Linked DNA regions of Neurospora crassa OR74A. The protein of the gene in region 3 purifies or fractionates together with the protein of the main gene of each other region. This does not show direct contact. Links are inferred from orthologs where the notes say so. Each region holds a gene or a part of one and is shown on either strand. Other genes may lie near its edges. The genes, in order: rbg-40, NCU01612, cpc-2, NCU00925, NCU03066, NCU06409 and NCU07041.

Region 1 (3,399 bases), on a different chromosome or scaffold from region 3:
GGCTCGCGCCCTGGGGGGCCCTCGGGGGCGGCAGCTTCAAATCGGAGGAGCAGCGCCAGCAGCAAGCCAACGAAGGCCGCAAGATCAAGGCGACCGAGGAGCAGATCAAAATCAGCCGGGCTCTGGAGAAGATTGCGCAGCGTAAGAACACAGCCATCACCTCCGTCGCCCTGGCGTACGTGATGCACAAGGCTCCGTACGTGTTCCCGATTGTTGGCGGCCGGTCGGTCGAGCACCTGAAGGGTAACATTGAGGCGCTCACGCTGGCGTTGTCGGACAAGGATATCGACGAGATTGAGAGCGCGGTTCCGTTCGATATTGGGTTTCCTAGCTCATTCTTGTATGGAGAGAAGGTTCCTGCGCACCCCAGTCAGGTTTGGTTGATGGGTATGGCGGGCACATATGATTATGTCCCGGTGCCGAAGCCTATCGTGCCAGCGGCGGAAAATGGTCAGTAGAGCCGACATCGCCGCCAGAGGTCTTTGAAGGTTAGGTGGGAGCAGAAGCTAAAGTATTAGTACGTTTCAATGTGATTCAAGTTGGGCTTTATTCGATTGTGACGTGTGTCAAACTGCTTTTGCGGAGGGTGTCATAATCAACATATGGGTTGCAAAAAAACTGATAAGCGTAAAGTCTTAAAAACCTGCTTGGCACGTCTTAGTACAAATTTGCTTGATAGAAATGCATAGGATTTGGGGGTATCTCAAAGCTGACATGAAACGCGTTTCTTTTCTCCTCTCGATGTGCTTCAAGCCCTTCGCTTGCCGCCCTTGCCGCCAAGTGATAACTTTTCCAGCCCCTTCTCTGCATCTGACAAAGGCCTTCCAACATTTGCCGGAATCTCGAACACGGCGTGTTCCTCTTCCTCTTGTTGATCTTCCTCATCTTCCTCATCATCTGTATCGCTTCCACTATCATCCTCCTCATCCTCGTCCTCGTCCTCGTCGAGTTCTTCTTCCTCCACAGCCTCACCCGCATCAATCTTCGCCTGTTGTTCCTGAATAGCCTTCTCCAGTTCCTTGAGCATCTTCTTGGTAAATCCTGAAGCCTCCACAGTGGCGTCCAACCGCTTAGCTCCATCCTTGCCAACCGTCTTCTTAGCATCCTTGAAGAAAGGACCGGGTTGTGTGGGCACAAAGTGGAAGCGCTTCTTGAAGAACCTCTTGATGCATTCGACATCGCGGTCAAAGTACATCTCGGCGTTTACGTGGTCCATAGACACCATTTGTGGGAAGTCGATAATGACTGGGACAAGGGTTACCGTCTCCGTCTCCTTCTCCTCGCCGTCCTCGATCGTGTACTTGGTGGTCCGCTCCTCTTTGATCAAAATGTTGAACTCGTTGAAATCACCATGGATGAGCCCGTGCTTGGCCAATCGAAGGATGAGGTCGATAAGCTCAGCGTAGAGGCTCGCGGGGTCTGGAACCGAGGAGACCTGTCTAAGTGGTAGGGACTCGACCAGGCTCATGACGATAGTGTGTCGGGACTGGGAAATCGGTTCGGGAACGGGAAAGCCTTCTTCTTGGAGAGCCTGCATGAAGGCATATTCCTTCATGGCCGCAAGCCGCGAGAGATACATCCATGAGCCGCCTTGCCGGTTGCGCAAGTAGTCGCGGTTGGACTTGACGGTACGGAAGGAAATGCGGCCTAGGCGATGGATCTTGAGAATCTTCTGCTTGCCGGTCTTGTCGGCTACGATCATGATGTCGGATTCCTTGCCAACACCCACACGACTGCCAACGCTGTAGACGACATCTTTCGAGGAGTGGGTGTGTAGGGCCAGATAGTCAAGACCGCCGTAGGTCAGTCGGTAGCCGTCGTACTTGGCCTCCTTCATGCGTCCGATGAGGCCAGACTTGGCAAGGGTCGCTATGCTCTTGTGAACACCACTGGCACCGCCCTTGAGACGGGCAATTCTCTCGATCAGAGGGGTCGGGACGAGCTCGTGGTTCTTGCTGCCCATCTCAACGGCAGTCAAGACTCTCCAGTCTTCTGCCGTGAGATGGCGTAAAACTCTGGTGTCCAAAAACATGATTGTGTGTTTCTTTTTGGATGTTTTTTGTTTTTTCCCCTCAGGTGATTGTCGGCCTAATTGCTGTGAGAGATTTTCTGATGTTGTATTGATCCAAGAGAGCTATTAGGTTGCTGTCTACGACGCTCTCGTCAAAGTCAAAGTCAAGGTGGGTGAAGCGCAAAGCTGATGTCCAGAATGGAAAGTGGGCGTCCCCCAAATTCCAAATGCACGGTTGCGATAACATCTTCCCGATAAGATAGGGCTGGCCGTGGGCTCCATTCGCTGAGCTGTGCCTGCCCGGTCAAGCGCCAGGTCCAGGCCAGTAGCTTATCTTATCAGAAGCTTGGGGGGAGCGGAATTTGTATCTTCCAGGCTCTGATGACGCCTCGTCCCCACCGAGGCTTCCAGACCCACTTGAGGCGGGCAGCATTGGATCGCAGGGGCGTTCTCAGCCAGACGGGGGAGCTTCAGGCGGCAAGCGAGTCGCGTAACCACCATCGGAGCTCCCTGGCGTTAGTACCGTAACTGCCACTGACCTTTGCTGGCTTTCAGCAACTGAGGTGCTTCTGGGCGAACCTGCAAAAGCTCCAACCTCCAAAACCGTCACCTGAACAACATAACAACCTCCAAACAACCGCAGCCAGCTCATCCACTTTTGATTTTGACATTCTGCTCACGACTGGAGCTCAAGTTCCTGTCGCTCAAGCAAACTCGGTGACAAAACTTGAACATTTCTTGCAGCAGCGAACGCCACCGCCGCGTCCACCTACCCCGGCCAGCCCAACCGACCTTGGTTTCCCCTCCAACTGGACCCATCGGCTCCGCGAATCCTCCCACCTACAACCATCACGGCCAGTAATCATGGCGCAAGAAAGCGACCTGTCCAAGACGGCCGATAAGGGCAAGGGAAAGGCCGTCGATGACGAGAAGAAGCACCAAGATGTCGATGGAAAGACCCCCGCAAACGGAAAGAAGGAGGAGGAACAGAATGGTGGGTTTCTCGGCCACTCCGACCGACTTGAGGTATCGGCGCCGGGCTTCTGCTGACAGCGCTTTGCGTTAGCTTCCGAGGAACTCAGTGAAGAGGATCAGCAGCTCAAGAGCGAGCTTGAGATGCTCGTTGAGCGGCTAACGGTTGGTGCTTCGCAATGACGTGATACAGGCTGAAGACCGGCTTCTCTAACAGTACAATGTCTTCAGGAATCCGATGCGACCCTCTACAAGCCGGCCCTCGAGGCCATGAAGAACTCTATCAAGACATCCACATCCTCCATGACGGCGGTACCGAAGCCGCTCAAGTTCCTGCGCCCGCATTATGAAACCATGACGAAACTCTACGACGAGTGGCCCGCTGGCGATGATAAGTCATCTCTCGCAGATGTTCT
Region 2 (4,229 bases), on a different chromosome or scaffold from region 3:
ACACGACCACCGACTTCCTGAGCCTCCTGAATGGCACGTGCATACTGAGCAACGGCACGGCCATCGTCCTGTCTTGGGCCGGGGATAATGATGGTCCTGGAGCCGCAGAAGTTGGCGTAGGCGAGCTCGAGGTTCAGCACCTGACGGGAGATGTCTGAGATGATGGGATCGGCAGAGCAGAGGTCGATCCATGGGCTGGCATAGGCGATGAGCGAGCCAACATAGCTGCTGGGAAACAGGGATGTATCGTCGTCAGTCAAGGTAGGAACCGTAGGAAGTGGCAGCGACGGGTTGGCCTTTTGGGCGTCAGTGAGTCCCCGTTCGGTGACCCACTGTTCCCGTTCTTGGAGATGGCTCTTGTACAAGTCGATCACGCGCTGGTGAAAGTGCTCGTTGGTGATGGGGGTGGTGACAAAGTTGAACTATTCTCATCTCATGTGTGTTAGAATTTATGCTGTTGCTCGTTCTTCTTTCTCTTCCTACTTTAATGTAAGGAAAGACTTACACCACTGTCCAAGATCTGGCCGTACTGATTGTCAGTGGGCGACTCATGTCGTTGGACATCATGCTGGCCAATGTAAAAGGGCGGCCGTTGCTCGAAAGACTCGGACTCGGGGTTAAACCCGCGATTTGAAGACATGATGAGTGAGTGACTGGACTTTTATGTGAATCCGAGTGAGTGAAAGAGAGTGGACGAGACTAGAAGTAAATAACCCCGCGATGGTCCAGGTTAGGTTTGAGGTGGTACGAACAGCAGCGGGAGGGGTACGGAGAAGGTAGCTATACTAGTCTCTGGGGCCTGTATACAGTAGAAGAATGTATAGGCTGTACTTTGATGAGGTATCGGACCCAATCACAGGGAAAATTGTAAAGACTGAAATCAAAGTTGGATGGTACTTTTTTTTTATTTTTCCCAAAACGGACTGACCCCATGGCAGTGGATATTTCCAGGGAAGAAGCACCAGAGGAAAAAGTCCAACCTCAACGGTCACCAACTCGAAATAAACAGGTATGGAGGGGTATAGATGGATAGGTACATGGAAAATGAAATAGCTGAGTGAAAGAAAGATTGCACACAAACCCAATGCGCCAAAAGTCACAATGTCACAATGTCACAATGTCACAAACTTCATCAACCTGCCTGCATTTTGCCTCTTTTTTTCTTTCTTTTTTTTTTCTTCTTCACGTGCAGCAGGAACAAACTGAGTGAACCTGACAGTTACAGAACAGTGTAGAAAATTACCGTCTTAGTGCCCATCAGGGTCCTGTCCAATGCTACAGTGATTTGCTTATCAGCGCTTGCCAAAGACACTCCTTACTCCACTGAAGCTTATCACTGTGACCCCTCATTGGTCGAGAGTCGCTGCGGCCAGGAACTGCCGGCCAGGTCTGACCTATCGCCCTGACATCAAACAAAAAAAAAGTTGTAGCCTCGCATGCCTGCCCACTGCCCTCCCCTCCACTCTGTTTCGCTGTTGTTCATCACTGCCACTGGAGGTGCCATAATCGACACTCCGCCTTCTGTTTTGCCTATCGCCGCTTCTCTTCTTCCCCTTCAGTTCGGTCTTCTTGTTTTGTTTCCTAGTACCCACCCCTCTCGCTCGAAGAAACAAGATATAAAAAAAAGGCCAGCTGCCCTCGGTCGGTACCACAATGGCCAGCCACGACGACAAAGGCGTCAAGAGATCCAACATGGACGGCAACGACCAGGACTCAAAGCGCATCAAGCGTGCCGAGAATGGCGATGCTGCCCCCGAAAAGTACAACCCCTACCTCGCCCATCTCAACGAGGACGGCAACGGCAACGGCACCAATGGCGACTTCGAATCGCCCCTCGACGCCTTCGAGAGGCACAAGACCACCGCCGCCCAGGCCGCCCAGGCCGAGGACTCGGAGCTCAACCCGTGGACCGGCCAGCCGCACTCGCAGAGATACTTCGACATCCTCAAAGTGAGGCGCGACCTCCCCGTCCACAAGCAGCGCCAGGAGTTCCTCGACATGTACCACAACACCCAGATCCTCGTCTTCGTCGGTGAGACGGGTTCCGGAAAGACCACCCAGATCCCCCAATACGTCCTCTACGACGAGCTCCCCCACACGAACGGCAAGCTCATCGCCTGTACCCAGCCCCGAAGGGTGGCGGCCATGTCGGTTGCCCAGCGTGTCGCGAACGAGTTGGATGTCGAACTGGGCCAGGAAGTCGGTTACAGCATTCGTTTCGAGAACCGGACCGGCCCCAAGACCATGCTCAAGTACATGACGGATGGTCAGCTCCTGCGCGAGTCCATGCACGACCACGACATGTCCCGCTACAGCTGCATCATTCTCGATGAAGCCCACGAACGTACCCTCGCGACCGATATCCTCATGGCCCTGCTCAAGCAGATCGCCGCCCGCAGGTCAGACCTCAAGATCATTGTCATGTCTGCCACGCTCGATGCCCAAAAGTTCCAGTCCTACTTCTACAACGCCCCATTGCTCGCCGTCCCCGGTCGTACCCATCCCGTCGAGATCTTCTATACCCCCGAGCCCGAGCGTGACTACCTCGAGGCCGCCGTACGGACCGTCCTCCAGATCCACGCCACTGAACCCGAGGGAGACATCTTGCTGTTCCTTACTGGTGAGGAGGAGATTGAGGATGCTTGCCGAAGAATCAGCTTGGAGGTGGACGACATGATTCGCGAGTCGGATGCTGGCCCCATGAAGGTTTACCCTCTTTACGGCACTCTCCCTCCTGCGCACCAACAGCGCATTTTCGAAAAGGCCCCCGAGCCCCTGCGCAAGGGTGGCAGGCCTGGTCGCAAGGTCATTGTCTCGACCAATATTGCCGAGACGTCCTTGACAATCGATGGTATCGTCTACGTCGTCGACCCCGGTTTCAGCAAGCAAAAGATTTACAACCCCCGCTCTCGTGTTGAGTCTTTGTTGGTTTCTCCTATCTCGAAGGCCTCTGCTCAGCAAAGAGCTGGTCGTGCTGGTCGTACACGGCCCGGTAAATGCTTCCGTCTTTACACCGAGAAGGCTTTCAAGAAGGAACTTATTGAGCAAACCTATCCTGAAATTCTCCGATCCAACCTGGCCAACACTGTTCTGGAGTTGAAGAAGCTTGGTGTTGAGGATTTGGTACACTTTGATCTCATGGACCCTCCTGCGCCCGAGACCATGATGCGCGCCCTGGAGGAGCTTAACTACCTCGCCTGCTTAGATGACGATGGTGAGCTTACGCGTCTCGGTGGTTTGGCTTCCGAGTTCCCGCTTGACCCCGCCCTCGCCGTCATGCTTATTTCGTCGCCCGAGTTCTACTGCTCCAACGAGATCCTTTCCATTGTGTCCCTCCTCTCCGTCCCTTCGATATGGGTACGCCCCAACAACGCGCGTAAGCGGGCCGACGAGATGAAGATGCAGTTCGCCCACCCCGACGGCGACCACCTGACGCTGCTGAACGCCTACCACGCCTTCAAGGGTGCCGAGACCAATGGCGACGACATGAAGCGCTGGTGCCACGAGCACTTCCTCTCATACCGTCACCTGTCGAGCGCCGATAACGTCCGGGCTCAGCTCAAGCGTATTATGGAGACGCACGACATTAGCCTGGTCAGCACGCCGTTCCAGGACAAGAACTACTACACCAACATCCGCCGCGCGCTCCTGGCTGGCTTCTTCATGCAGGTGGCCATGCGCGAGAGCAGCAACAGCAAGGTGTACAAGACGGTCAAGGACGACCAGCTCGTCATGATCCACCCGAGTACGTCGGTGACGAGCCCATACGACTGGGTCGTCTATAACGAGTTCGTTCTCACAACCAAGCAGTACGTCAGGACAGTGACCAACATTCGTCCTGAGTGGCTTCTTGTACGTATTCCCCTTTTATGAATTCCCTTTGTCAATGGCATCTTGAAACTGACCTATGTAAACCAGGAAATTGCCCCCGTCTACTACGACCTCGATACCTTTGAGAAGGGCGAGATAAAGTCGGCGCTCACTCGTATCACCGACAAGGTCAAGCGGAGGCAAGCCATCAAGGGCAGCGGCAGCGCGCGTTAGTGGCGTTGTAGAGACAGGAAGAGAAAGAACAAGTCTTCTTCCGCTGCTGCTGTGGTAGCTGATGGTAGTGGTCGTTGTGAAGAGACCAAGGATACCGAGAAAGAGAAGCCGAGTCGCCCGCCGCTCGTACACGTTACGGAGAACATCGCCCGCACCGGTGCGACCTCTTCCGCCGGGAACAGCAA
Region 3 (4,242 bases):
AGGATCTCCCTCTAGACGCCGCCATCCCTACCGACCTTCCCGTCCTCGATCCCGAACTCGACGGCGCCGCAGACAAGGCAGCCAAGAATTACATCCCGAGCTCATTCCCTTCCTTCCCCAGCGTGCACACCTACAAGTACACCCCCGAAAGCGTCGAGGCCGCCACGACCGCCCAGCACAGCATCATGACCGACACACAAGCCACCGTCACCATGACCCAGACCCAAACGATGGCCGAATCCCAGGCAGCAGCAGCAACAGCAGCAGTAGCAGCCCAGCAATCCCAGTTACCCACCAAGATTCCCCAACGACCACTGGCACCCGACGAGATCCCCCGCGGCGATCCTAAGAAGATCCGCGAAGCCGCCGCTAAGGAAGCCAAGGCCGGAGAGCAGGCGCTGCGCCGTCTCATGCGCGCCAGCAAGATCGCGAAGCAAAAGGACGTGTCGGCCACGGCACAGCGGGATCCGTCTCGCAGGGAGCGGTACGCGCTGTGGGAGGCGGCGATGCGCGAGCTGGTGGAGGACGACACCAAGGCGAAAGGCAGGGAGGTGGCGCCCGCGTCTATGCATAGTCAGCAGGGCCGGGTGGAGATTGCGGACCACAGCATGATTGTGAATGCGGAGAAGGGGTATTATCGGAAGGAGGTGGCTAGGCCGGGGGTGAGGAAGTTGGCGGGAGAGTTGACGGGGAAGTAAGGCGTGAGGTGACCGCAGGGCAGTGGTGATGAAGATGCTTACGAGGGAAGGGGTCATCTAGTTCAAGGATGACGAGGCTACTATGAGCGCACGGTTGGCTTTGGTTATGGCATGGTTTTGCGAGAAGGTACATGGAGGCCGGACAGAATGGCATGTGAAAAGAAAGGAGAAGTCATCGGTCACGACCAGTGTCATGTTCACAGAATTACGGCTATGAAGATGGCACAAAGCTATTGTTGCTTGATTCACAAGGCTTGGGGAGTTATGGGGTTGGCGCATCATTCAGAGCATTAGCATTTGTTGTCATTCTTGAGTTTATACAAGATACCCATACAGAGATAAAGATAGACGGACAATGGTCTATACAGCGGATGTTAAGTGGTTCCGATAATACATCATTGTGTAGAACTTGATGTACTGTTCTTCCATTAACGAATTTCGATCCGAACACACGTCTATTGCTCCAGATGTATTTCGAGTGAAGTCATATCTGAACCTTGGTGAATTTGTTTGTCATCGACCGGTGACAGACGGGTAGTGAAGCTCTCAAGTAACTAAGTACTTGTATACTTGAACGCTGCCAGCCTTTGCCGGGCCGGCAATGGCACAGTGCACTTGAAGTGACGACACCGCAGTTCCGGGCTGGCAGGCCTGGGCTGCAGTCGGTGCCCCCGCCAAAAGCGAGTGAAAAGACAGTGTGAGCCCGCCATTTCGAGGCGACAGCGCCAAGACGGCAGCCGACCCCACCGCCCAGCGACCGCAGTTGGCTGTGTCGGCCGACCCTATTTTCCGCCGCACAAAAATTTCCGGAATTCCTCGATCTCGTCGCCTGTCTCCGCATTGTGCCTTTGACGATTTCTGACCCGCGCAGAGGCACCGTGAAAAAGCTCCCCCATTCTCCCATTGATCCTCCCCTGATCAACCAGAAAGGAACTGCAAGATGGCTGAGCAACTCATCCTCAAGGGCACCCTGGAGGGCCACGTAAGTTTGTTTTATTTCTTGCCCGCTCGGTTCGCCCCCGTTTCGCTGATGTTGCTGCTGCTGCTGCTGCTGCTGCTGCGGTTGCTGCCATGTTGTTGTTATTGTCAACGTCTGCGCTGGTGGGTGGGCTAAGGAGGAGCGCGATGGGCGCAAACTGAAACGGGTACTGCGAACGGCGAGAAGCAAGTTGGACGGCGACGATGATGGGGACATGGCAGCAGAGCAGACAGCAAGCACAGCGATTCGAAAGAAAGAAAGAGAGAGAGATGTGGTGGGAAAGCAAGCAAGGCGGAAATGCAGAAAACTGACCACAATATCTTGAACAGAATGGCTGGGTCACCAGCTTGGCCACCTCTTTGGAGAAGTACGAAACCACCGAATGAACCGCATAATACTCGCGCGAAGATCATGAACTTACAAATGCTCTCGCAATTAGCCCCAACATGCTCCTTTCTGGTAGCAGAGACAAGTCCCTCATCATCTGGAACCTCACCCGCGATGAGACCTCGTACGGCTACCCCAAGCGCCGTCTCCACGGCCACTCTCACATCGTCTCCGACTGTGTACGTTAAATACTCGACATTGGAGGATTGTGTGGATATTTTGGAATCGCGGGCAGTTTGACTGATTGGCGCGGCAGGTGATCTCTTCCGACGGTGCCTACGCCCTCTCTGCCTCGTGGGACAAGACCCTCCGTCTCTGGGAGCTTTCCACCGGCACCACCACCCGCCGTTTCGTCGGCCACACCAACGACGTTCTCTCCGTCTCTTTCTCCGCCGACAACCGCCAGATCGTCTCCGGTTCCCGCGATCGCTCCATCAAGCTGTGGAACACCCTCGGTGACTGCAAGTTCACCATCACCGAGAAGGGCCACACCGAGTGGGTTTCCTGCGTCCGCTTCAGCCCCAACCCCCAGAACCCCGTCATTGTCTCCTCCGGCTGGGACAAGCTCGTCAAGGTATGTTGTATAACCTGCTTTACTCCCCCCCCAAAAAAAACCCGACACCATGATGCATGCATATTTTTCTCAAAATAGTATTTGCTACTTCAGAGCCCTCGGGCCATGAGACCAACATCACACGCACTGATTTTCTCGGAAATCACAAACTCCTTGTCAGAAACTGCATGAGATTTCGAGAGGATTTGCGACTAACAGTCTCAACTCAATCAGGTTTGGGAGCTCTCGTCCTGCAAGCTCCAGACTGACCACATCGGTCACACCGGCTACATCAACGCCGTCACCATCTCCCCCGATGGCTCCCTCTGCGCCTCCGGTGGCAAGGACGGTACCACCATGCTCTGGGACCTCAACGAGAGCAAGCACCTCTACTCTCTCAACGCCAACGACGAGATCCACGCCCTTGTCTTCTCCCCCAACCGCTACTGGCTCTGCGCTGCCACCTCCAGCAGCATCATCATCTTCGACCTCGAGAAGAAGAGCAAGGTCGACGAGCTCAAGCCCGAGTTCCAGAACATCGGCAAGAAGTCCCGCGAGCCCGAGTGCGTCTCCCTCGCCTGGTCCGCCGATGGCCAGACCCTCTTCGCCGGTTACACCGACAACATCATCCGTGCCTGGGGTGTCATGTCCCGCGCTTAAGCGGAGACGTCGGAGCCGGGACTGGTTGGCTAGGGGACGTTGTGGACGGGAGGCTGGCTGCGCGCAGGTTGTCGGCAGTTGTCCGTGAAGGACGACGCCGCTCCAAGCGTCGTGCGGCTGCTGCTGCCGCCGCTGCTGCTGCATCAGGGCAATTTCGAAGGATTCCATGGTAAAGGCGTATTCTCGGAACTGCTTTGTATCGTCTTTGCTTTCTTTCATTTTAAAACATATCAAAATGAAAGGACAACTGGGAGCTATGGGAACAAGTTGCATTCTAATGTCACTGCGAAAGAGCCTCTACGTGCAGCGTATTTTTGGTCCACCACATGGCAATGAATGATAATGAAGGCCAAGATGAACCATTTGATGTGTCCGTTTGCGGTGATGTGTGATGTGTGGTGATTGACGCGTGATGCATTCGGGGTTATGTTGTGTGATGTGGTGAATTGGTATCAATGTTGTCCCCATCCTCAGCGCCTCTAAGTTGTAAGCTTCCTGATATCCATTTCACTCGTTCACATCCCGCTCACTCAAGTCGTCCTCGTCGACATTCCTAGCTACTCGACCACCTCGAAAGTCTCCTTGACGTACGCGTACAATACCCACAACTACCCTTCTATCTCCTAGCCAACACAACCTCATTTTCATTATCATCCATTCCCCTTCATCTCCCCAACCCTACATATGCTAAATCTCCCTTCACACCACCCATTCCCCTTTCCATTTCCCTTTCCACCAATCTCATCCTCTTTCCTCCCTAGAGTACCGAAGCCATCCCCAACTCCATCTTTCCCCATCTCGTTTCTTTCTTAGGTACTCTTCCATTTCCATTCCCGGCCTCAACTGGCCATACTCTTCTACACCCTTCTACCCTTCTACCCTCGAAACCCTCTTTAATAAATCCTCCATCGGTAAGCGGGCGCTGGACTCCATCAACAGGACCAGGAACCCAAGAATGATCCTGG
Region 4 (4,044 bases), on a different chromosome or scaffold from region 3:
GCCGATATTGGGGGCCAGGTCAGACAGTGTAAGTTGCACACCATAGGTGGAACTAAGGAACTCCCATGAGCCGGTCAGGAAGAACGACATTTGGAAAAGCACTGCCAGAGCACCAAACGCATCCATAACCATGGTCGCGGTAAACTTGATCCACGCATTGGGCGCTCCGGTAGCGGGCAACTTCTGCCTGTCATAGCAAAGAAGAATGAGAGGCGGGAGGAGGAGTAGCGGATACATGGAGAGGTATGATGCGAAGGCTAGGGCGACCATGGCGTGAAAGGGTCTGCCGGAGATGGCATTGGCGACGGCGTGGAGAATGGCACAGGTCGTGAAGACGGTGGTCGAACGCCCAATGCATGTCGCGATGGTGAAGGGGTTGAACAGGAAGAGCGCGGCAATGATGGCACCACTCCAACGCTTGTCACGGCGCGGGGAGGTGAAGCGCGCAGACGAGCTGGCCTCGCCAGACTCTGCAATCCTTAAAAGAGCATGGGCGCTCAGAATATCGATAGCGATGTAGAGAAGGTACGTGAAGATGGGAAACGCCGCGAAGCTCGGGAGCAAGTTGAAGATGGGCAGCAAGAGGGGCGCCTGGTGGTAGACGCCGCCATCGTAAGGAGAGACGTTATGGTTATACAGGAAGAGGCCTTCTTGGACTAGATTTTGGTAGTTAGCAAACCTGTGTTCCTCGAGACGATGCGACGAATGCCGAAGAGAAAAACAAAAGCTACAACATACGGCGCTTGAAGCTTGTTACTGGCGTTGAGATCTCGACACGGCCAGTCAGGAGGTCTGGAAGACCGGGGAACAGAGTAAAGAGGGCAAGTCGCAGGACGGCAGCACCGGCGTATAAGCCAGCCGTCCTCCTCAACGTTACCTTGCCGCCATTCATTGTTCAATTCGCCATACGACGAGGTGGGAGCTGTGATGTCGAACTTGTCCCAGGGTCAAGTTACTTCTAACGACATGCCCGTCCAGTTGCGCTATACAGGAGTCGCGCCCAGCACGTTAGGTCGCCTTGTCAATCGCTGTCCCCGCCAAAGCAGACCGACAGCTGGCCCGGCCTCCACAGCTGGCGGGTCCCTGTGGGACAAGGGGTTCTGGAATCCAATCCAGACGGGAGCGGGAACCTATCTGGGCCAGACGGGCCCAGTATGTATTCTAGTAGCCTCATCTGTGCCTATCTGATGCCTCCCGTCTTTCCATCCGCTACGTTATCTTATCTTTGATCAGCTCAGGCGGTGGGAAGTGGCATAAAAAGTTCAGGACCGCGAGGGTCAGAAAAAAAGTTGATTGCAAGTGCACAGAGCGCCCCCACCTACAATTGGCTTCGATAACGATCGAGTCTGCAGACTGAAGAGATCCATCCTTGGTCCTCTTCTCCTTCTCTCACTCTTCCACCTACACCCAACAACCACAACCACCACCACCACACCCCAAAATGCCAAAAATCAAGAAGAAGGGCCAGGCCGGCGCGGCCAAGAACTACATCACCCGCACACAGGCTGTGAAGAAGCTGCAGCTTAGCCTTCCCGACTTCCGCAAGCTTTGCATCTGGAAGGGTATCTACCCGCGCGAGCCTCGTAACAAGAAGAAGGTTTCCAAGTCGGCCACTGCCTCGACCACCTTCTACTACACCAAGGACATTCAGTACCTCCTCCACGAGCCCCTTCTTCAAAAGTTCCGTGACCAGAAGGTGCTCGAGAAGAAGATCTCCCGTGCTCTTGGCAGAGGTGATGTTTCGGATGCCGCCCGCTTCGAGCGCCATGCTGCCCGCCCCGAGGCCACTGGCAAGCCCAGGTACACTCTCAACCACGTCATCCGTGAGCGCTACCCGACTTTCAACGACGCGCTCCGCGATCTCGATGACTGCTTGTCCATGCTCTTCCTCTTCGCCAACCTCCCTTCCACGAGCGCGGTTCCCGCCAAGATGATCGCCCGCTGCGAGCGTCTCTGCCTCGAATTCCAACACTACCTTATTGTTTCCCACAGCCTGCGCAAGTCGTTCCTGTCGATCAAGGGTATCTACTACCAGGCCAACATCCAGGGCGAGGATATTCTCTGGCTCGTTCCCTACAAGTTCAACCAGAGGATCGTCGGCGATGTCGATTTCCGCATTATGGGCACTTTCGTCGAGTTCTACATGACTCTTCTTGGATTCGTCAACTACCGACTTTACAGCTCGATCGGCCTCAAGTATCCTCCCAAGTTCGACCAGCTCAAGGACGAGAACGGTGCTGAGCTCGGCGCTTTCTCTCTGGAGGGTGTCAACATGGCCACCCAGGGCGAGACCAAGGCCGTCACAAACGGGGAGGAACAACAGCAGGGTCCTGACCCCAAGGTCCAGGCTGAGGTTGACAAGATTATCAAGCAACTGAAGGAGGACGAGTCCAAGAGCGACGAGACTGCCGAGGAAGATGCCGAGGCCGACGATGAGGAGAAGCCCACAGACTCCATCGACAAGTTCGAGCCAGTTGCCCCTGGTGGTGATGTTCTTCCTCAGCCGGCGTACAGCAGCAGTGACCCTTCGCAGCTGTTCGCCAACTTCACATTCTACCTCTCCCGTGAGACCCCCCGCCAGCCTCTCGAGTTCATTCTTCGTGCCTTTGGCTGCAAGAGGATAGGCTGGGATTCCGTCCTCGGCGAGGGTGCCTTCACAAATGACGAGTCGGATCCCTCCATCACCCATCACATCATTGACAGGCCAGTCGTACAAGCCGCTACCAACGAGGATGGCGATGGCGAGGACAATCAGACGGCCCAGAAGGTCGGACCCAACCAGAGATACCCCGGCAGGATATATGTCCAGCCCCAATGGGTATGGGACTGCGTCAACGACGAGGAACTCAAGAGCCCTGAGCTCTATGCTCCTGGCGCCGCTCTCCCTCCCCATCTTAGCCCCTTCGTCAAGGCCGCCCCTGGCCAGTACGATCCTACTCTGCCCCTTGAGGCTCAGCAAACCGAGGCCGAGGCTATTGAAGCCGACCTCGAGGATGCCGAGAAGGGTAATGCTGAGGATGGTTCCGATGTCGAAAACGACATGGATGTTGATGAGGCCGAGGACGATGAAGAAGAGGAGGAGGGTGACGAGGAGGATGCCGAGGAGGCCGAGGAGGAGGATGCTGAGGAAGATGAGGAGGAGTCCAAGACCCTCCAGCGTCAGCTTGAGCTAGAAGCCGAGCTCCAAGGCAAGAAGGTGCAGAATACAAAGGTAGACTCCAAGACCAAAGCCAAGCTAGAACAGCGCAAGGCTCTTGAAAAGAAGGCACGCGAGGAGGCGGAGGACCTGGAGCGCGCCAAGGGCATGCTGAGCAAGAAGAAGCGCAAGCTGTTTGAGCAGATGCAGTATACCAACAACAAGAAGAGCGCTCAGGACGAGAAGCTCCGCGCCAAGAGGAGAAAGCTGGAGAAGGAAAAGGCGCAGAAGGCGTAAGGTTAAAACACTGGCAAGGCGTAATTTTTTAGCACTTTATGTTTTGAAATGGGATACCAAAGGCTCATTTTTCTCTTTTCTTTTTGTGTAATCGACAAGTTTTGAATCCTACTCGTCGTCCTGAACTGATGCAAATGTGAATAATCGTGACATGAAAACGAGCGCCCACGAGGCTTTCGTCTGAGGGTTAGGGGTCGCTACGAACCAAACCGTAACGCCCAAGAGAAGTTGGAACGAACCGAAAATAGGACCAACGAAAGGTGAGAGTACAAAGTAAAAGAATTGAGTGAGGAGTCAGAGGTTCATCAGTTTCTCCATCCTTGTTGCTGTGGTACTACTACTGGGATGCTTTCGTACGTCAGTGCGGTTCTTCGACCTTCAATCTCTTGTCACTCCCGTCCTTAGTGATTGATCACCAGAATTTGCACTCAACAACCCTGCCAACGCGGGAAGAGCACCCACTAAACTGGGCCATGCAATGTCTTCACACTTGAATCAAGAAGATTCCGGCGACGAGGATTGGGATAAGGACACTGAAGAGATTAATTCCATCGCATCAGATGAACTGCACGAAACCCGCCCCAATCGGTGGAATGGGGCCCCCTCCACAT
Region 5 (3,938 bases), on a different chromosome or scaffold from region 3:
TTCCGGTGCCATTCTGAGCGGTGACCGTTACAAACAGTTGGCTTTTACCAAACTCGGTGGTACACACAGACGCCTTGGCAAGTATGAGCAGGCAAAAGACCTGCTCGAGCAAGCAATGGCCATGTCGGCATCAAGTGAGCTGCGCATCGAAGCCAGTGGCGAGCTTGGTGTTATCTATCAGCACATGGACCTGATGGATGATGCAAAGCGTGTGCTTCGGGTTCAGTATGAAACAGCAAAGGAGTTTTAGGCGGAGCACTTCGCGTGCCGGTCGATCGGAAACCTCGATACGGTCAACTAGCAACTGTCCCAGCAGCGTTAGGATGAGTCGTTGTTGTAATTAGCGATAAATTAGCTCCTTGAACGCGTTGAAAGGGCCCATCAGATCAAGGATACAATTGACTCGCAAGTCCTGGATGCATTTACAAGAGAACAGCGATTGAAGGGTGCGATAACTTGGGAAACAATCGGTCTCTTCCGTCTTTCTCTACGCTAAATGGGGGATACCTACGGAAGAGTTTCTGAAGATACTCCCTCATGTGAAGCGTGATAAGCGTGGTTTCTGGGTGATATGTTACCTCCCCACCACAACCCCCTTTCTTGATGCGTATTCGATGCTAGCATGCTATTTTGCTTCAGGACTTTGTCTACGTAGGCCAAGATGACCCAATGTCCGGAGTGTCTGCTCTGCCGATAATCATTGCATAGTGCAATGCCATTGTCAGCTTAAGCGACGATCAATTATGCGAGCGGGGCACGGTGTTCTGTTGAATCCATGATGATCCAAAAACTCAAAAAAAGCGTACAGCGTCCATGTGTGGTATAAACAAGTGCTTGACGACAGAACTGATGGCATCCAGAACTGCACCTTGACGGACGGTTCGATGGATTTGAGGATCGTCATGGCAGACAAGTGTTTGATTGTTGAGACGGACCGACCTAAAGTCCTCTTTCTGGAAAGGCAATGCAAACCACTTGCGTAAAGAGTCGGTAGCAATAATTCTTCATATACATATAGAGAACAAGCGCAACCACACCATAAGTGTATCAATATAATTTACATTCCACGTTTGGCTAAACACAAATCAAACATACAATACGACTGTAAATTACAGGCACGCGCATCTCCACATTCGAAGCGGGGACTTCTGGAATCTTGGTGGAGTTCAACACGGCGGATCCCTGCTTTATCAGAGCTTATCTAGGCGGTCAGCAGTGGCACAAACCGTTCCTCCACTCTAATTTTTTGACGACCATCAATCAGTACAGCCGCCCATAGTAGCGACCGGATTTTGCTGCTTTACCTTGCTGTCCCATCCTCAATTATCCTCCTGTACCTCCTTTTTTGACATTAGGAGCAGCATATCTTCAAAATGGCCGGATCGATAACAAAGCCCAAAAGTCAGTCAATCTTTCGCTGAGAACAACATATTCTTCCAATCAACACATTGACTGACGTTACTTAAAAACAGAGCCGAAATCGAAGCGTACACCCGTACGCCTCAGGCACAAGATCCAGAAGGCCTCGGCCGCGAAGCAACGCAAGGACAGAAAGCTCGCCAAGAAGAACCCAGAATGGCGCTCCAAGCTCAAGAAGGACCCGGGTATCCCGAACCTTTTCCCCTACAAGGAGAAGCTGTTGAACCAGATCGAGGAGGACCGCATTCGGAGAAAGGAACAGGAGCAGAAGCGTCGTGAGATGGCCAAGGCGGCCAAGACTGGCCAGGACACCAAGACGGGCGCCGAGGGCGATGTCGAGGCGTTCGATGACGATCTGATGGACGACGACGATGCTATGGAGGAGGATGGTAGCGACGTTGACGATGAGTCGAACCCCCTCGCTGCCCTGGTGGCCAGCGCCAGGAAAGCTGCCGAGCAGTACGACCGCGAGCTCCAGAGCGGCGACGAGATGGACGATGACGACGAGTCCGACGACGAGACCGATGGCGAACCCACACAGTCCGGCGTTATTGAGGTTCCCGGCGGCGCCTCCTCGCGCAAGGCTTTCGACAAGGTCTTCAAGCAGGTTGTTGAGCAGGCTGATGTCATTCTTTACGTCCTCGACGCCCGTGATCCCGAAGGCACCCGCTCGAGGGACGTCGAGCGCGCCGTCATGGCCGCCGCCCACGGTGGTAAGCGCCTGATCCTCATCCTCAACAAGGTCGATCTGATCCCTCCCCCGGTCCTCCGCGGCTGGCTCACCCACCTGCGCCGCTACTTCCCCACGCTGCCGCTGCGTGCCTCCAACCCTGCCCCCAACGCCCACACCTTCCAGCACCGCGACATTACCGTCCAAAGCACCAGCGCGGCTCTCTTCCGTGCGCTCAAGTCGTACGCCGTCTCGCGCAACCTCAAGCGCTCCATCCAGGTTGGCGTAATCGGCTACCCTAACGTCGGCAAGTCGTCCGTCATCAACGCCCTCCTGTCCCGCCTCAGCAACAGCCGCGGCCAGCACAACGCCTGCCCGGCCGGCGCCGAGGCCGGCGTCACCACCTCGATCCGCCAGGTCAAGATCGACAGCAAGCTGACGCTGCTCGACTCGCCCGGTATCGTGTTCCCTTCCACTGCCGGCAACTCGACCTTCACCCCCAAGAACCAGACCGAGGCGCACGCCCACCTGGTGCTCCTTAATGCCATCCCGCCCAAGCAGATCGAGGACCCGGTCCCCGCCGTGACGCTGCTGCTCAAGCGCCTGTCGGCCACCCCCGAGTTGATGGACAAGATGATGAAGGTGTACGACCTTCCCCCCTTGCTGCGCGACCCCAACAACGGCGACCCCACCATGGACTTCCTTGTCCAGGTTGCCCGCAAGCGCGGCAGGCTGGGCAGGGGCGGTATCCCCAATATCCAAGCCGCTGCCATGACTGTCGTGACCGACTGGCGCGACGGTCGTATCCAGGGCTGGATCGATGCTCCCGTCTTGGCTGTGGCTGGTACCGCCACTGCTCCTGCTCCTGCTGGCGGCAAGTCTGCTACCGCTGATGAGCCCCTAGCGGATCAGAAGGTGATCGTGACCGAGTGGGCCAAGGAGTTCAAGCTGGATGGTCTTTGGGGAGATGAGGAGGAGACGGCGACTCCGGATGTTGAGATGCAGTAGAGCGATTTATTCCCCCTATCTTTGTCTGTTGGCAGTTGTTGTTGAGCATTTCACTTTTTGGTTTCTTTTTTGTTTTCGGTTGCGTCGGTGGTCAATGTCGTAATGAGTATTTTGTTGTTTTGCATGTCAGAAACACAATACAACGAACCCCGGAGCTGGACACATCTTTGTGAAGAGGCGTTTTGGCGTCAAGGTGGGAAAGAGCAAAAAGGGAGACAGGCAGGCCGGCTGGTAGAAAATAGGTCAAATATAGCCTGATCATAAACACCTCTATGACAAAGGCTTTTGAAGTGAAGCTTTAAATTCTTTCTGACATTCCCTGCATCGTTCATCATACCGAGCTGTGTTTTCAATGGCCTATTATCGAATTCGAAAGCAACGACATTCCGAAAATGACTTCATGAACGTTTGGATAGCCGAAAGTAAAAAAACAATGTATTGCTCTACAAAAGTCCATCAAGGGTATTCTTAACCTGTACCCCTTCTCAAATACTGAAGCATCCATCTTCAACAAATCTAATAAGTACTAACAAGCTCCATCTTCACCCCCCTCTTCCCCGTCGTCTCATCCTTCTGATCCGTCACCCTCACCCTGACCTTCTGGAACAACTCCACCTTAACCTCCCTGCTTCCCGATGTGGTCAGCGTGTACGTCTCGGCATCATACGTCGCCGCCGGCTCCGGCTCCGCCAGGTCACGCAGACGGATCAAGCTCTCGATACCGAACTTCGGCACGAGCACAACAAAGCCATTGCTAAAGATCTTCATGACGAAGCCGTCCTCCTCCGTAGCCTTGCCGCGCAGGGCCTGGCCGACATAATAAGCAATGCTGGCACGGCCG
Region 6 (4,095 bases), on a different chromosome or scaffold from region 3:
TCTTCAACGACGTCTCGGGGATGGCGTTTGCAATGGCTGTGAAAACCTCAGTAACGTTATGTCCGGTCTTGGCCGAAGTCTCAAAGAACAAGAGACCCTCCTCCTCGGCGTATGCCTTGGCCTCGTCCGTCGAGATCTTGCGTGCGTCGCCCGAATCCTCCGCATTGTCGTCGCCACCTCCGGAAGCCTCGGCAGAGCCGGCCGAGTCGCTGGTCAGATCCAACTTGTTGCCCACGAGCGCGATAACGATGCCGGGAGACGCTTGTCGCTGGAGCTCGGCGACCCAGTGCTTGGCCTTGATGAGTGAAGTAGGTTTCGTCAGGTCGTAAACGACAAGGGCGGCTTGGGCGTTGCGGTAGTACATGGGCGCTAGAGAGGCGAAGCGCTCCTGGCCTGCTGTATCCCAAATCTCGAACTTGATCGTCCTCGTGGGCAGGTTGCACTTCTGGGTTAGGAAGGCGGCTGCAAAAAAGTGTCAGCTAAACTGGTGCAAAGAAAGTCGTCATGACTTCAGGAACTAACCTCCTATCGTGGGCTCCTTGTTCTCTTGAAAGTCATTGTTGACGAATCGGAGGACGAGCGACGACTGTGGAACGATTTGTGTTAGGCATGTGTTTCTCGAGCATGGTGGTTTTGGAGCAGAAGACTGCGCACCTTTCCGACAGCAGCTTCACCTAGAAGCACCAGCTTGACGCTGCTGCTCGGCTTGGGCGCGTTCGTATCGGCCATTGTCGTTGAAGTGTATTGTTGCTACAAATCTGGGTGGATGGGTTGTGGAAACGGCGGGGCTTGCGGCAGCGAGCAACTACAGCAAGGGACAATAGCAAGAACGGCTATCTTTGATAATGCGACAGCGACAGAGCAGTGCAGTTGTGGAAGGGAGGACGTTGGGTGGCTGCCTGTTGGAAGACAAAAGATGTCTGAAGATGGATCGTTGATGGGTTGGGAATCGGAGTGAGGTGTGACGTGATAGGTAGACGGCAGCAATGAGAGTAAATGGATGGATGGAGCTTGTTCATTCAGTTAGTTCCCTTCCAGTCGGAAAGCCAGGCTCGCCGGGATCCAGCAGGCATTCGGTCGGGCCACGGGCAGGCGTCGCATGTCCTCGATGTCCCCCCTCGCTTGCGCTGTGAGTGGACTCCAACTTCCCCTCCATGCCAAGACTCATAGCCACATATGTATGCCTTTGTGAACCGTGCGCAATCTCGTGGCAGGCAAATTGGACTACAAGTACGTACCGCCAGCTGTAGCCCGGGGACTGGACTTCGAAAAGGTCCCCACTAAAAAGTTCACTTCGAAAATTTGGGGGCGTCAAAGTCGCAACGAAAGTCTTCCATCCTTTATGCGCCAGGATTGACTTTCCACCCCTTCGCCCTAGCATCTTCAAATCTAGCCCACCTCAAGATGCCTCGCCCAAAGTCAAAAGCGGCGAAAGCCAGAGTCACAGGCGCCAATACCGATCCCATTGTGCCTAGAAAGGGTCTGTTCGACGATGATGCCTCCAGCGAAGACGAGCAGGACGGCGGTGCCACCCTCGGTACCGCTGCCGACTTGAAGATCAATGAGGAGTACGCCCGCCGTTTTGAACACAACAAGAAGCGCGAGGAACTCCACCGTCTCGAGGAAAAGTTCAAGTCCAAGAAGGAAGGTGGGCTAGGCGAAGACGAGGACGAAGAGGACTCTTCCGAAGACGAGACCGAAGACGATGAGGGCTTCCTTGTCACCGAGGACCTCGACGCCGAAATCAACGCCACTCTAGAAGCTATCAAGAAGAGGGACCCCCGCATCTACGACAAGGAGGCCGTTTTCTACACGCCAATTGACGCCGACGGCCAGCCCGTCAAGGAGAAGAAGGAGAAGCCCATGACCCTGCGCGACTACCACCGCGAGAGGTACATGGCCGGTGACATCGGTGCCGACGAAGATGACGCGCCCAAGCCCAAGACCTATGCCGAGGAACAAGCCAACCTGAAGCAGAACATTCTGTCTGAGATCAATGCCGCTGTCGGCGAAGACGAGGAGTGGAGCGACGACGACGCCTTCATCAAGCCCGTCAAGAAGGAGGAGGCGCCTACCGAGAACGGCGTTCACCCGTCGCGCGCCAAGGCGATCGATCTTAACGAGCTCGACGTCAAGAACGCTGACAAGAACCCCGAGGAGTTCCTTTCCAAATTCATGCAGTCCAAGGCCTGGGCGCCCGCCGACGGCTCGCGCTGGGAGGCTTTCGAGTCGGACGAGGGTGAGGACAACTTCCCCGAGATGGCCGAGGAGTTCGAGCACGCCTACAACATGCGGTTCGAGGACCCCAACAAGAGCAACGAGTTGCTCAAGACGTACTCGCGTAACCTGGCCAACGCCAAGTCCGTCAGAAAGGAGGAGCTCACGGGCAGAAAGAAGCAGAGACAGCTCGAGAAGGAGCGCAAGGAGGCCGAGAAGAAGCAGCGCGAGGAGGAGCGTGCTCGTCTGCGCCGTCTCAAGATTGACGAGGCGGCCGAGAAGCTATCCAAGATCAAGAAGGCTGCCGGTCTCACCGGCAAGGAGCTGTCCGACGAGGAGTGGATGAAGTTCCTCGAGGACGCCTGGGACAACGACCGGTGGGAAGAGGAGATGCGCAAGCAGTTTGGCGAGGAGTACTACGCCGAGGGAGAAGGCGACGTGTCCGGCAGCGACGAGGAGGACGACGAGGACAACGAGGACGGCAAATCCAAGAAGAAGAAGAAGAAGCTGCCCAAGAAGCCCGAGTGGGACGACGATATCGACATCAAGGACATCATCCCCGACTTCGACGACGCTCCCGATGTTGTCCTTTCCGATCTAGACCTCCCCAAGCCCAACGGCGACGACCAAAAAGCCGAAGACGAGGACGCCGACCTCGGCTCCGACCTCTCCGCCGATGAAGATGAAGGCCGTCCCTCCAAGAAGCGCAAGACCACCGCCGACATCAAGAAGGAGAAGCAAGCCGCCAAGCGGGCAGCCAAGGCGGAACTAGCCAAGCTTGAAGCTTTGGTCGACACCAAGATGGAACTCGACACTCCTCGCGCGCTTTCCGCCCCCAAGGACAAGAAGTACAAGGAGAACCTGTTCCCGTTCCGCTACCGCGAGACTTCGCCCGTCTCGTTCGGCATGACGGCGCGCGATATCTTGTTGGCGCCCTCGGACGCCGCGCTCAACGAGTTCGCCGGCCTCAAGAAGCTGGCTACTTTCCGCGACGCCGAGAAGAAGCGCAAGGAACGCAAGAAGCTTGGCAAGAAGGCCCGTCTCAGGCAGTGGCGTCGCGAGACGTTTGGCAAGGAGTTCGAAGCGACTGGTCCTACCTTTGGGTTCGAGGCGCTGGACGAGGATGGTACGCCCCTTGGCAAGAAGGATGAGGGTGCGATTAAGCATAAGAAGAGGGGTGAGAACAAGGACAAGAAGAGTGGCGAGAAGAAGAAAGAGGAGAAGAAGGAAGAGAAGAAGGAGGAGAAGAAGGAGATTGCTGCTGGTGAACGGGGAGCGGATAATATCATCGAGGGAGAGAGGAAAAAGAAGAGGAAGAGAAGCAAGAACAAGAAGGACAGTGAGAAGGCTGAGGCCTAGAGTGCTTCGTTGCCACTTCGGTTGTCAGTATAGTTGGACAAGCAGTGGCGGTCACGTTTGTTTGTTCTGTTTAGGGTTTTGTATCGTTTAGTCTATTTTAGAAGGCGTATTGCATCGCGGTGTTACGGAGAAATCATACAAAGTTAGAATTAGCTATACCAATCCTCGATGCTTCCTCTCATCTCGGAGTTCATCGTCGTCTTCGCTACCTACTCAGTTACTCTGCATGACACTCAGATGGTGTTCAAGTTGTCTTCATGCTTTCCTGAAGAGAAGAGACACTCCCCTTCTCCCCCCTCTCCCCTTCCCCCCGGAGGCGGAGCGCCCGTCCTGTTACTAAAATCCGTCATCGCCACCCTTTCCTCTCTTCTATCCTCTTTTTTTTTTTTTTTTTCTCTTTCTTGTGCACTTTCGACCTTCCTAACATCTGGCCCTGTCTTCCAGTTGTTACTCTGTTGGCCACTACAACCAACTCCAGCCTCTTCTCATATTGTTGGCCACTTTGGCAGAATAATCAGG
Region 7 (3,501 bases), on a different chromosome or scaffold from region 3:
GACGACGCCGTAGCCGTCAGCGAGAAAAGGTTGCTCGAAGGAGATGCCGGGGTAGAGGTGTTGGCGGATGAAGAGGTCGCGGTGGTTGAGGGCGCAGGACCGGAGGCGGATGAGAAGCTCGCCGGGGCCGGGGGTTGGTTTGGGGATGGTGTTTAGTTGGAGGCTAGATGGGGAGGCCGAGGGTTAGTCATGCGGGGAGGATGGTGGGAGTGAGTTGGTTGGTGGTGGTGATGGGGATATGTATGGGGGAGAAGAAAGGTGAGGTTATGTGAAGAGGAAGAACAAAACACTTACGGGTAGTAAACCTGGCCGGGTTTACCGTCAATTTTCTTGACAGTGAGTTGGAGAGGCATCTTGGCGTTGTGTTTATGTGTGGGTTGTGTTTTACCGAGGCCAATCCACTGGATGAGTGTTGAAGTATGTTCAAGAAGTGAAAGAAGGAAAGGGTCATCAAGTTTAAATCAGTTGCGACATCGGCCAGATTTGTTATCAATTGGACCCGGGGAAAGGGGTGTTGTCACTCTGTCATTGAGCCTCTCCCACCAACCCTGCCACCGACCAATGGCCGCCCCCACTCTCCCCCGCATTCGTTGCCGGATCCCGCTCCAATGATGCAACTGCCTCGGCCCGCCTTGTGATGCCCCTGGTTTGCGATCCGCCGGGGTGGAGCAGCCCGGTTGTGGTGCGGGTCTGCCACATCGGGCTTTATTCGCGATCGTCATCGGGTTTTGTTTCGGCCTTGGGTTTCGAAATGTCGACAGATTCAAGAACCGACATCTTTTCTGGACAAGTCATTGTTTTTGATAACACATTTGACAAAGGCTTTTGGTGAAATTTAGCAACCAGATCACCCTTGGATCCCGAAGCAGGAGAAATCTCAATCGTCTGCTGAAGTATGGGTATCATGGGATTCCAGGATCCTTTCTCTTTCTCTTCATCATCGTCTTCCTCAACTCCATTTCCACCTCCACCGCCCCCATATTTTGGATTGCACCACTTGTACCAGCTTAGTCGCTCGTCTTCCTCTTCTTGGCCTTCTTGTCCGTCAACTCCTCGGGCGGCACATACTCCTTCTCGCGCTCGCGCTTCTTCTCCTCCTTCTTCTGCTTGGCCTTCTCTGCGCGCTCCTGCTCCGCCACCCGCTGCTTGGCCTCCTTGCCGAGAAAGTATTCGCCGGACTCGATCTGGAGATCCACCTTGCTCTTCTCGGGCGCAGGGGGGAAGGGTGTATAGTTCTTCTTGGTCTTGTCGTTGACGACGTGGGGGACGCGGCGCTTGGAAAGCGTGCGCTTCTTGAAGTTGGGGAGGTAACGAGACCAGTCTTCGTGGGCAAGAGCGGGGTCCTTTGCGAGTTCGCGTTTGATCCTGTTTTCTCATGTCAGTTATTGTTGTTGTGGGGCGTCGCAAGTGGGCGTGCAGGCGCAAAACTTACATCAACTCCTTAATCATGTAAATTGGGTGAACGTTGTTCATGGTGTCCTCAACAACCCTCCTCACCTCCTTCAGACCCTTGAAAGGACCCATTACCGACACTGTGTTTCCGTGCACGAGGATATATGTTTGTGTGAGAAGCTCGAGAGCCTTGAGCGTTGTGCCGTTCTGTCCGAGAATTCTTTGGCGCCTCTTAACAAAACGCTCCTTGTTCCGTACCATGCTGCGGATCTTGATGATGTCGCAGGCCATGCCATCTTCGAGAATTTTGATCGCTTGTGGGGCTGGTACTGAACGGGCGAGCAACTTGATGAGATCGCGGGCGTTAAGAATAGCTGCGGGGTCATATGTCTGGACGTGAGTTAGCAAAGAGTGGTGACTATAAAGACAACAAACGCATCCGCCGTACCTTTCTTGTCGTCTTCACTGTCATGGAACCCTCCACCAAATCGAGAACTGCGGTGATGCCGTGCTTGTCGAGGGCCTTGGTGATGAGTGGCCACGAGTCTCGTAGATAACGCTCGCGGTACTTGGGGAATAGGGTCATAAACGAAGACTCCTCGAGGAAGGGGCCGGAGGATTCGTCCTTGGTGAAAGGGTCGACCTTCCACTTGTCGATGTCGTCTGTATCCCACGGCTTCTCCTTCTTGTGTGTGGACGGCATTTTGGCTGTAAATGTGTTTCTCGGGGCTCTTGTGGGCTGTTGATGTTTATGAATAATCAGAGGTCTCGATTGAGGTTGTGCGACAGGTCACGATATCAGGGCGAGCGACTTGGGTCTGGTGGTTGGATTTGATAAATGGCTTGTTGAAGGGATTGTATGGCAAGATGGCCAGCCGAATCGCGCTGCACGGATGGAAATTTTTGGAACACAAGCCTGCCGCAGCTGGTAAGAGTGGGGGCGCGGCGCTTCTTGCAGGTTGAGTTCCGGCTGCAGAAGCGCGACAGGATCAGCGGCCAGCTGGCAGATGCAGGGGCAGCTCCTTATCTGATAACTGGAACTTCCACTTGCATGGAAGTTGTAACTTTTGGAACCTGGTATTTTCATTGAGGACGACAACAGCATAAAAAAGGAGCAAATATAAGAAAACGACCGGATTCAGTTATTTCAAATCTCAGCGAGGTGGAAGTTTGGTTCTGTCATTACTGTCCTGCTGTACTTCGCAACGAGTCTATCCAAGTACTCTTGGCCATCTGCTCCTTTCAGCTGTTTTTTCCCCCCAGGTTGTAGATGTTATCTTATCTACATACTAGCTTATCATGACAGGGGCTTGCACGGCACGGCACGGAACATCAACAAGAAATCACACGTGCTGGCGACATCAAAAGGTCTTGATATGCCATGGTGGGATTGGCGACAAGAGCGTTTTGACTTGCTGGGGTCTCAACGTGATTTGTATACTCCCAGCAGGGCCATTGTTGACACCTGTACCGTCGGTAAAATCTCACCAAGGTGTTCAAGATACGCTGAAGTAATTGATGGTGAAGCATCGAATCCCGCCCGAGTCAAAGTTGACGAACTTAACAGCAGCAATTTTCAGGTTCGCCGTGATAAAGTCGCGGTAAGGCTGGATAACGTTCGTCGTTGGTTTTCCAGCTGAAGAACCAAGAAATCATCCCAGGTTCGCCCAATGAGAACCTGCAAAGATCTGACGACCCTGGCGCGCTGTGGTCATCATGATCGGGCAAGCACAATCTGCACTGTGGTACGCCACGGATTACAGCATTCCGTGCACGAGGTTTCGAAATCCATCAACGTTTTCCGTCAGAAAGGGGTAGGTTCGGTTTTGTGTCGCCAAGAATCAGAACTCCTTCCGTCCCTGCAACATCTTCCCCTTCTTTTTCTTCTTCGGCCCCGCGACATTCTACACTACTCCCTTCGATTTCCCCTTCGTATCCCTGGCGTCGGTCTTTATCCCGAACCCCAAGACCTTCAGGTATCGCTGCTTCTTGTGACCTTTGCCAAGATCGACGGCAATTGTCGTTGTCTATCCTTGAGAAGAAGAGAAAAGGAAAAGAAACAAATCGAATTCATCATAAGCACAGACGTCATTTCTGGGACGTTGACCT

The links.
Region 1: the proteins of cpc-2 (region 3) and rbg-40 purify together in Saccharomyces cerevisiae (affinity purification with mass spectrometry; 4 studies listed by BioGRID). This does not show direct contact. The link is inferred for Neurospora crassa OR74A from reciprocal best matches to the Saccharomyces cerevisiae genes ASC1 and RIO2.
Region 2: the proteins of cpc-2 (region 3) and NCU01612 purify together in Saccharomyces cerevisiae (affinity purification with mass spectrometry; 5 studies listed by BioGRID). This does not show direct contact. The link is inferred for Neurospora crassa OR74A from reciprocal best matches to the Saccharomyces cerevisiae genes ASC1 and PRP43.
Region 4: the proteins of cpc-2 (region 3) and NCU00925 purify together in Saccharomyces cerevisiae (affinity purification with mass spectrometry; 3 studies listed by BioGRID). This does not show direct contact. The link is inferred for Neurospora crassa OR74A from reciprocal best matches to the Saccharomyces cerevisiae genes ASC1 and NOP7.
Region 5: the proteins of cpc-2 (region 3) and NCU03066 purify together in Saccharomyces cerevisiae (affinity purification with mass spectrometry; 3 studies listed by BioGRID). This does not show direct contact. The link is inferred for Neurospora crassa OR74A from reciprocal best matches to the Saccharomyces cerevisiae genes ASC1 and NUG1.
Region 6: the proteins of cpc-2 (region 3) and NCU06409 purify together in Saccharomyces cerevisiae (affinity purification with mass spectrometry; 3 studies listed by BioGRID). This does not show direct contact. The link is inferred for Neurospora crassa OR74A from reciprocal best matches to the Saccharomyces cerevisiae genes ASC1 and KRI1.
Region 7: the proteins of cpc-2 (region 3) and NCU07041 purify together in Saccharomyces cerevisiae (affinity purification with mass spectrometry; 4 studies listed by BioGRID). This does not show direct contact. The link is inferred for Neurospora crassa OR74A from reciprocal best matches to the Saccharomyces cerevisiae genes ASC1 and KRR1.

Annotation. Positions count from the first base shown.
Region 1 is NC_026504.1:2,085,409-2,088,807, forward strand, and holds rbg-40 (serine/threonine-protein kinase RIO2), read right to left. Parts: upstream 2,197-3,399; 5' UTR 2,033-2,196; coding exon 749-2,032; 3' UTR 501-748; downstream 1-500. Other genes in the region: NCU07723 (norsolorinic acid reductase), read left to right, coding at 1-458; rpn-1 (26S proteasome regulatory subunit rpn1), read left to right, coding at 2,876-3,005, 3,078-3,148, 3,215-3,399. UniProt on the Saccharomyces cerevisiae protein: Required for the final endonucleolytic cleavage of 20S pre-rRNA at site D in the cytoplasm, converting it into the mature 18S rRNA. Involved in normal export of the pre-40S particles from the nucleus to the cytoplasm.
Region 2 is NC_026502.1:2,956,763-2,960,991, forward strand, and holds the start of NCU01612 (pre-mRNA splicing factor ATP-dependent RNA helicase PRP43), read left to right. Parts: upstream 1-1,429; 5' UTR 1,430-1,653; coding exon 1,654-3,852; intron 3,853-3,918; coding exon 3,919-4,044; 3' UTR 4,045-4,229. Other genes in the region: pp-2 (protein arginine N-methyltransferase HSL7), read right to left, coding at 1-422, 506-640. UniProt on the Saccharomyces cerevisiae protein: Pre-mRNA processing factor involved in disassembly of spliceosomes after the release of mature mRNA.
Region 3 is NC_026507.1:3,907,037-3,911,278, forward strand, and holds the start of cpc-2 (guanine nucleotide-binding protein subunit beta-like protein), read left to right. Parts: upstream 1-1,442; 5' UTR 1,443-1,638; coding exon 1,639-1,680; intron 1,681-2,006; coding exon 2,007-2,044; intron 2,045-2,116; coding exon 2,117-2,243; intron 2,244-2,320; coding exon 2,321-2,638; intron 2,639-2,851; coding exon 2,852-3,277; 3' UTR 3,278-3,763; intron 3,764-3,834; 3' UTR 3,835-4,144; coding exon of another isoform or gene 4,145-4,168; 3' UTR 4,169-4,242. Other genes in the region: NCU05809 (hypothetical protein), read left to right, coding at 1-698; NCU05811 (hypothetical protein), read right to left, coding at 4,145-4,168. UniProt on the Saccharomyces cerevisiae protein: Component of the ribosome, a large ribonucleoprotein complex responsible for the synthesis of proteins in the cell.
Region 4 is NC_026501.1:6,705,681-6,709,724, reverse strand, and holds NCU00925 (pescadillo), read left to right. Parts: upstream 1-1,313; 5' UTR 1,314-1,441; coding exon 1,442-3,433; 3' UTR 3,434-3,544; downstream 3,545-4,044. Other genes in the region: gpit-2 (glycosylphosphatidylinositol transamidase 2), read right to left, coding at 1-656, 739-892; NCU00926 (hypothetical protein), read left to right, coding at 3,912-4,044. UniProt on the Saccharomyces cerevisiae protein: Component of the NOP7 complex, which is required for maturation of the 25S and 5.8S ribosomal RNAs and formation of the 60S ribosome.
Region 5 is NC_026501.1:4,414,055-4,417,992, reverse strand, and holds NCU03066 (GTP-binding protein), read left to right. Parts: upstream 1-1,268; 5' UTR 1,269-1,373; coding exon 1,374-1,401; intron 1,402-1,472; coding exon 1,473-3,097; 3' UTR 3,098-3,438; downstream 3,439-3,938. Other genes in the region: NCU03067 (hypothetical protein), read left to right, coding at 1-250; NCU03065 (mitotic control protein dis3), read right to left, coding at 3,614-3,938. UniProt on the Saccharomyces cerevisiae protein: GTPase required for 60S ribosomal subunit export to the cytoplasm.
Region 6 is NC_026503.1:1,301,258-1,305,352, reverse strand, and holds NCU06409 (ribosome biogenesis protein Kri1), read left to right. Parts: upstream 1-1,295; 5' UTR 1,296-1,404; coding exon 1,405-3,576; 3' UTR 3,577-3,772; downstream 3,773-4,095. Other genes in the region: NCU06410 (GTP-binding protein YPT52), read right to left, coding at 1-462, 523-586, 655-729. UniProt on the Saccharomyces cerevisiae protein: Required for 40S ribosome biogenesis. Involved in nucleolar processing of pre-18S ribosomal RNA.
Region 7 is NC_026504.1:4,998,693-5,002,193, reverse strand, and holds NCU07041 (90S preribosome/SSU processome component KRR1), read right to left. Parts: upstream 2,275-3,501; 5' UTR 2,096-2,274; coding exon 1,841-2,095; intron 1,783-1,840; coding exon 1,433-1,782; intron 1,366-1,432; coding exon 1,008-1,365; 3' UTR 501-1,007; downstream 1-500. Other genes in the region: NCU07042 (alcohol dehydrogenase), read right to left, coding at 1-163, 295-353. UniProt on the Saccharomyces cerevisiae protein: Required for 40S ribosome biogenesis. Involved in nucleolar processing of pre-18S ribosomal RNA and ribosome assembly. Essential for vegetative growth.